2 linked regions of the Bombyx mori genome follow. The protein of the gene in region 1 interacts with the protein of each later gene in a biochemical or structural test. Links are inferred from orthologs where the notes say so. Each region holds a gene or a part of one and is shown on either strand. Other genes may lie near its edges. The genes, in order: hydroxyacyl-coenzyme A dehydrogenase; trifunctional enzyme subunit beta, mitochondrial.

The links.
Region 2: the proteins of hydroxyacyl-coenzyme A dehydrogenase (region 1) and trifunctional enzyme subunit beta, mitochondrial are reported together in a solved structure, tested with the Homo sapiens proteins (2 studies listed by IntAct, with this or other methods). The link is inferred for Bombyx mori from reciprocal best matches to the Homo sapiens genes HADHA and HADHB.

What each region holds. Positions count from the first base shown.
Region 1 is NC_085110.1:11,342,632-11,346,461, forward strand, and holds part of hydroxyacyl-coenzyme A dehydrogenase, read left to right. Parts: coding exon 1-117; intron 118-661; coding exon 662-828; intron 829-936; coding exon 937-1,166; intron 1,167-2,159; coding exon 2,160-2,352; intron 2,353-3,145; coding exon 3,146-3,281; intron 3,282-3,364; coding exon 3,365-3,588; intron 3,589-3,678; coding exon 3,679-3,795; intron 3,796-3,830. UniProt on the Homo sapiens protein: Mitochondrial trifunctional enzyme catalyzes the last three of the four reactions of the mitochondrial beta-oxidation pathway.
Region 2 is NC_085126.1:9,561,977-9,566,412, forward strand, and holds the start of trifunctional enzyme subunit beta, mitochondrial, read left to right. Parts: upstream 1-1,537; 5' UTR 1,538-1,660; intron 1,661-1,667; exon of another isoform or gene 1,668-1,689; intron 1,690-1,765; 5' UTR 1,766-1,811; coding exon 1,812-1,875; intron 1,876-2,420; coding exon 2,421-2,592; intron 2,593-3,873; coding exon 3,874-4,061; intron 4,062-4,436. UniProt on the Homo sapiens protein: Mitochondrial trifunctional enzyme catalyzes the last three of the four reactions of the mitochondrial beta-oxidation pathway.

The sequences.
Region 1 (3,830 bases):
CAAGGCTTTGGTGAACTGGCTATGACTCCTCAGAGCAAAGGGTTGATTGGTTTATTCCGTGGACAAACAGAATGTAAGAAGAATAGGTTCGGAAAATCCCAAGTTGATGTAAAAACGGTAGGTTCTTGATAATTAAACATGATTATCACTATGTCTATTCATAATGCTTTGAAACAAAAAATAATGTGTAAATGAAATAGTTAAGCCATATATTAACTAACTAATAATCATGTTGCATTCTGACGATGAGCATGCAGTTAGCAATGATCTACAAGATCCACTAAATTCAAAAATTTCTAAAAAAAAAATTATTCCACACTCCACTTATGTCATTAGTGTATACGGCAGACTGTATGAAGGTAGTAGTTAAAATAGCTCGTCGTACAAGTAAGGAAAGCCGCCACTCATTTTAAGACATATAACGAAGTCGCCGTTGAATTAGAAAACCTCAGGTAACCAACAGTTAGCTCGCCCTTTCGTGGAAATGATGCCAACCCGAACAATTTTATGTAATTAAAGTAATTTAATAAGTAATTTGTTATAGTACTGATTGTTGATTCTGCTAATAAATTCAAAAGCCCATACTCCTTTGACACAACTTTTTAATTTGTCTAAACTGTAACTTTTAGTTAGTACTTCATTTTATTGAAAATTTTTATAGATTGGTGTTCTTGGTGCCGGTTTGATGGGAGCAGGTATAGTGCAAGTGTCAATCGACAAAGGCTACAATGTCGTAATGAAAGACGCCACTAATGCAGGCTTGTATCGCGGCGTTGGACAAATTCAAACCGGACTAAGTAATGCTGTGAAACGCAAAAGAATTTCATCGTAAGTAAATAATTAATTTTCGACTTCCCCCCTTATTTTACAGAGTTTTCATCAAATATGTATGTTGGATTAGAGCCAGGGATTCATTTACATTAATTTTAATTGCAGTCTACAAAAGGATAAGTACTTATCGAATCTACTTCCTACATTGGACTATGCCAAGTTCAAAAATGCGGATTGTGTAATTGAAGCCGTTTTCGAGGATATTAACATCAAGCACAAAGTTATCAAAGAGTTAGAGGCTGTAGTGCCGAAACATTGTATTATAGCTACAAACACTAGTGCTATACCTATTACAAAAATCGCAGCTGGCAGCAGTCGTCCTGATAAAGTAATTGGTAATTATCAAAAAATTATAATTTTTTTTCATTATTCTAGTATAAGTCAGTGACTCAAACCAGTAAACGGGGTTCAAAATATATATTTTTTAAGTTATTCATTATTGACATAGGGCCCGTAAATATTTCCGACACAAAAATACAATAATTAATTACTGAAAAAATATCTATTCGCCAAATCTAAAATCGACTCAACCACCACATTCAAAAAAAAAACAGATTTCCTTTTTGGCAATATAGCACATATAAAAAAACATAGCCTTCTTTTCAAAACTTTCATTCCTTTTTTAAATTACAGTAGAATCCGGATATAACGACCTTCAAGGGACCGGCGAAACTATGTCGTACTAACCGGATGACGTACAAAACGGCAGAATTATATCTTAAGTACATATGTTAAGTACATATGTTTATCCAACTCATGGAGCATGTAAAAATTTGCATGTCTAACTGTATAGCGAAAAATTGCTTTCTCTTGTAGCAGAGGTACATTCACGGGTATTCCCCAGTCGCGCTGAAGCTCGAACCACTTGAACAATGCCTTATCCACCGACTTATGAGTATAAGTCTATACACGTTAGTATTTTAAAACATTGGCATTAAACAGCGGCTCGATCTTGTCTTTATTCTCCTTTATTGTTGATATTGTAGAATGAGATACGCCAAACTCCTTTGCGAAGGTTGCATTTGTTTCACCGGCTTCTAATCTGAGTGAAGTTGGGGCACTGAGGTATTGGTAGTTTATGTAAACAAAACATTGTGCGTCGTTTTAACCGAACGTATCATCATAATATTCATAATTAAGGGTCGCTATAAGCAGTTGGTCGCTTAAAACGGAGTCGCACTAAACGGTTATATTTTCTCAGTACCTAACTATGAAACCTAACTTGAATAATCATGATCGTCGTTAAAAGCGGTTGGTCGTTATAAGCGAAGTCGTTGTATATGAATTCTACTGTACAATCTTAATTTGAACCTTTTTTTTTGTTTCAGGCATGCATTACTTCTCACCAGTTGACAAGATGCAATTGCTAGAAATTATTAAGCACCCCGGCACCAGCGACGATACATCGGCAGCCGCTGTGGCCGTAGGTCTACGACAAGGAAAGGTCGTCATCACGGTGGGGGATGGGCCTGGTTTTTACACCACACGTATCCTTTCTACTATGCTTAGTGAAGCAGTAAGGTGTGTTACATGTCATTTTAAAATTAATTAAATTAAACTAATTAAACCAATTTGGCTTCTAAAATGCTGGCAGTCTTCACAGAGCGAAGCAATATATACCGTTTGGGTAAAAACTTGTGCTTTACAAATCACAGTTTTGATATCATCTATACTAATACTAATACTAATATAATATTATAAAGAGGAAAGATTTGTTTGTTTGTTTGTTTCGAATAGGCTCCGAAACTACTGGACCGATTTGAAAAATTATTTTTCCATTAGAAGCCGACATTGTCCCTGATGAACATAGGCTACTTTTTTTAATTTTTTTTTTTATTTTTTTTTTTTGCTTTCATGTGTGTTTTAATGTTTCCGAAGCGAAGCGAGGGCGGGTCGCTAGTGTGAAATATTTATTTCATCCTCGGCTGGTAATCCATGTCAATTTAAGAGAGCTATCCAGATATACGATTTCGAAGATCATTTGTGGGGCATTTCATTTTTCTCGACTTTCTGTACTGTATGTACTGTGGAAGAGTGTTTTGAGGAATTATCTAAAGCTGCTACGATCATCTACAATTAGATTTCCAAAAATAAAATCTTCCACATGCCCCTGACTATGTAATAAACTCTGTTCCTCAATATTTCCTAAAACTAATAGTCAAATCAATTAATGAATCATTATTTCGCGGCGGTAATAAGCTGGTGATGCCTTTCCGTACGGTTCCAAAACACACACTAACATCAGTTAATTGCAATATCAGTATTTAACGATATATTTATCTATTTATTACTAATACATACTTTTTTTGTATAGACTGCTACAAGAGGGTGTTGATCCTAAAGAACTGGATAACATGACAAAGCAATTTGGTTTCCCTGTCGGCGCTGCTACATTGGCTGACGAAGTTGGTATCGATGTCGGCTCTCACATCGCTGTGGATCTAGCCAAGGTTAAAAATGTTAAAGGCTCTAATAGTAAATGTCAGAACTATTTTTGTATTTGTTAACTAAAACTATATTGCAATTAAAACAGGCCTTTGGTGATCGCATTAGCGGAGGAAACTTGGGTATCATGCAGGACTTAGTGCAAGCTGGATACATGGGACGCAAGTCCGGCAAAGGTTTCTATGTGTATGAAAAAGGCTCTAAAAACAGGGAAGTAAACCATGGTGCTATTAAAATCCTGAAAGACAAGTATGCATTAGAACCTCGTGGTGCTAATACTGTTGAAGACCAACAACTGCGAATGGTTTCCAGGTATTTTTGACTTCTTGTTTAAAATTATATAACATGACCATAGTGAAGTTAAGTGTTGTGGAGAATAATTATTCTTATTATTTATAACAGATTTGTAAATGAAGCAGTGTTATCATTGGAAGAAAAAATTCTACACAACCCCCTTGAAGGTGATGTTGGTGCGGTCTTTGGTCTCGGCTTCCCTCCATTTACTGGTGGACCTTTCAGGTAATTTATAAACTAGGTTTTAGGAGTTCACTAGG
Region 2 (4,436 bases), on another chromosome or scaffold:
CCCAAAAATGTTAAGCGGTTACCAGAGCCCACAATATGAGTGTCAACTGTACAGCATAACGGCTAACCCACCATCGGAACGAATTACTGCTTTGAAGCAGTAATAGGCAGAGTGATGGTACATAGCTTGCGGCCTACAAAATGCCCTTACACTAGTAACATACTTATATTCTCAATTACGTTTGGTTTTGGGTTCATGTCTGAAAATTGTAGAACCTCGAAACTGGCAAACAATGGCATCTCGATTGCTATACTGAAAAAAAAAGAAGAGTACAAATAGATGCATTTGTTGTTTGTTCTAAGAGTTGCATTTGTTTGTATTTTTAAGCGAAAGCATGAATTGTAGTGTAGACATCAGTTTCAAACTTCAGACCAACTCAGCGCTTCTTAAATAATATTATTAAAGGGCTTAAACATGTTAAAACCGTGTCTAATAAATAATAGATCTGCTTAGTGTTTGGATGTACTGAAATTAGAGGAAATGAAACAAAATTGATTGACATGCTTAGTTTTTAGGATTATTTTAAAGTCTTTAAAAGCCGTTACAAAGTTTCACTCTTTTTTTCATAGAAAAATAGGGAACGATTAAAAGCAATCGTGGCTAAAAGTCGAGTCGTTAATGGACGTAAATAAATTGTAACGAAATGTTTAGAGTCAAATATGACATTTACAGTGATACAAGAAAAAGAAAAAAACAACAGATAATGGATTAATTAGAAAAAGAAAAGATCACGTTTTTAATCATAGAAAGTATTGAAATTAGTTTTTGAATCTTAATTATAATATACTGCATAGTAACAATCTGATTGTGTGGGTAACGTGATTACATACAAACTTCAAGCTACTGGTACTACTTCCCTAAAATCCATCTTTAAGGCACTACCTAGTTAGCACAGGTTATAATCTTCCCTGTAAACAAAAAAGTAATGTTTCAGCCACTACCAGGGTTAAGAATTAAGTAGCAGTTGATATTTGCATTATTTTATGATCCTCCTCCCTGTGTCACATTCCTCATATCTGAAGACCGTGACCATCTCCTCTCATTATCCTTCTCTAGATGATGTTTCGCCATCTTCCTCTGTGTTCTCGGCGGTGTGTATAGCATCGTAGACGGTGGTATCCAGAGTAGTGCGGGCTTGGTCGGACCAGCGCTGCAGCGCATTGGATTGCGGCCACGAGACCTTTTGCCTGCAATCTTCCCAGTTACTATAAATTTTTCAAAATCGTCAAGATCGTCAAATATCCTCTTGAGGCAGATGGTAGAGAGCCTGGTTTAGATATAGAACCGTCTTAATATCCATCCGTTAGTCCGATATGCTGTCCACGAGATTCATAGCATCTTCCTCCAGCACCACATCTCGAAGGCACCAATGCGGTGGCGATCAGCTGATTTCAGAGTCCACGTCTCAGCACCATAGAGAAGCATTGAGACCACTAGAGTTCGGACAAGTCTCATTTTGGTTTTAAAAGATATTTTGCTATCTCTCCATGGTCTGATAGATATGACTTTATGATATCGTATGATTAATTCATAACCTCCGCTTACATCCGCTTAATAGACAAAATGAAAATAGCAAAGAGTAGCTTTTCACCAATAGCGGCTTTTTACGAAAATGAAGCGGTAACCCCAAAACGCTTTCTTGATCTGTGGTGTAAAATAGGTCAGAGTCCAACTCTCCAAGTTTTTTCACTAAATAGAATACAATTATTTTGAAGTTTTTATATTTTAATTTAATTAATATTTAAACGTTAGCATTTTATTGCAGAAATCTTCACTGTTTAAAGAAAAATTGTCCGAAGTGCCGTACTAAAATGGCTTCACAAGTCGCTAAATCATTGATAAAAGCAAACCACGTACGATCTACTGTTAAGTTCGGTAAGTTGCAAATTATACAATTAATTTACGATAAATATACAATAACGTCCCAAAACAAGAGTCCAGTTACGACCATCAAAGCATATTAAAACATGTTTATGTAACAAATCGGTTGTTTTATCTATAATTTTGAAAAGCAAACTTTGGACTGTGATCCTGGCAGACTTGTTTATAAATTTGCTTGTTTGTTGCCAAATTATATTAATAGAAAATGTTTTGTCCTGACATTTATTTTGGAACTTCAATGTTTTGTCTAATATTTCTTAGACAAAATAAATTTAAGGCAACATACAAACTTTACTATGAAATAGAACAAACAATACGTACACAGACAATACACACAGCCCACACACGACTTCCACAATGAAGGAACATCATCATGTAATAGAAACCGAACCTGATTTAATTAGAATTTGTACAAATATTTTATTTTTGATCTAAACAAAAGTATTTGAATGTTTAATTGGGCTAAACATTGACAAGTTTTTAGCTTTTCGCCCAATATATTTTATGTGGTAATATAAAATGACTTTTTTTTATAATAGATACTGCCAGACGAGCGCTGAGTGTAGCGCCAGTACTGCAGCAGAAGAAATCTCTCCCAGACCGTACAGGCAAGAATGTGGTGCTTGTCGATGGAGTCCGCACTCCATTCCTTGTTTCATTCACCGATTATGCCAGGATGATGCCCCATGAACTAGCAAGACATGCACTTCTGTAAGTTGATTTTAAAGATTTATTAATAAGACAAGATTAAAGGTAATCTTGATTAACATATATATATTTTTTTATTTTCATAAGACTTTGAGAGGGACTAAAATAGTTAAGCAATCTCGCTGTCTCCCTCTTTCTAACTATGTATATCACATGTTGGTTGGTCAGCTTTCTTTAATTTTCTCCTCTACTTAGCTGTCTTTGACATCATCGTCAGTGACATTGAATACCCTCTTCTCCTTCAGCACTACCAACTTATCTTGGGTCTTTCTCTAGGTATCTAACTGGTGATGTCAACTGACTGCGTCAAATTTCCAACATAGTCTGGTGGCCTCTTTTTTGTGTTTTTATTCTGTTACGAGCGAGCTACTTTTTTGAAGTATCTGGATTTATTGGTTAGATGGCTGGACGAGCTCAGAGCCCACTTGGTGCCAAATTGCTATCACAAATAAATATCACACAAAAAAAAACAGGATGTATTTTTGCTCTATGTTATTCCTTTGTTGTCCAATTAGTACTTGACTGTGGGATTGGATAACTGATACAGTAGCATTACTCTATAATAATGCACAGGGCATCTTATTCTCTAGGCCACAACTAATTTTATTTATTTATTGCATAGTTGGATGGATGAGCTCACAGCCCACTTGGTGTTAAGTAGTTACTGGAGCCCATAGATATCTACAACGTAAATGCCGCCACCCACCTTGAAACTCGACACTACAACGGCTGCCCCACCCTTCAAACCAAAACGCATTGCTGCTTCACTGCAAAAATAGGCGAGGTGGTGGTACCTACCAGTGCATACTTACAATGGATCCTACCACCAGTGATTACGCAAAATATAATTTTGCGGGTTTGATTTTTATTACACGATGTTATTCCTTCACCATGGAAGTCAATCGTGGTGAACATTTGTTAAGTAAAGTGGATTCGAACGCCGTTGCATCTATCAATACTAATATACTGGACGTCTTATCCTTTAGGCGATGACGACTTTTATTAATATTCATTTTTAATGTATATTAAAGTAATGTAAGACAGTATATGAAATATGTAAGATTTTAACCTGAAAAGAAAGAAGGGTAGAATTGTATTTTTTAACAATCTTCACCAAGTCTGTATACTTGCACAACAACCATGAAGTCATTTGCTTAATTGATTGCTGTGTGTTTATGTTTTAAAAACCCAGCACTTAGTAATTTTTTTTTATGAAGGAGAATAAGTACCATCACTAGTACACTACAGAGATCTTTATTTTGTGTCTTATGTCTATTTTCATAGTGGTCTCCTACAAAAGACTGGTATATCGAAGGATGTCATTGACTACATTGTATATGGCACCGTGATCCAAGAGGTGAAAACTTCAAATATAGGGCGCGAGGCAGCCCTGGCGGCTGGGTTCAGCGACAGGACTCCAGCGCACACCGTCACCATGGCTTGCATCTCTTCTAACCAGGCAATCACCACTGGTGAGGGCTACAATTTATTTGTGTTTTTTATAATATAGTTGCATCTCATTCTTTGTATATGATAATGATTACCACATCTGTGTTTTAATTATCATAAAGATCTACAGATATCTCGTCAATCTTAAACTCAACAACCAAAATGTTTAATATTTTTTTAAACATTTTTAATAAAAATTGATTTGAGTACATATAGTCATAACTCAGCCATTCATTAGTTTTCTTTAAACTTCTTTATATCTCTTGATCCACCATCTCTCCACATAATGGAGATGTTGTAATTGTGATTTGTGACAGATTTGATTTTTAATTCCCTAGATCGGTGGGTAAGGCCCACCTGGTGTTAAATGGTTACCGGAGCCCTTCAACATCAACGTA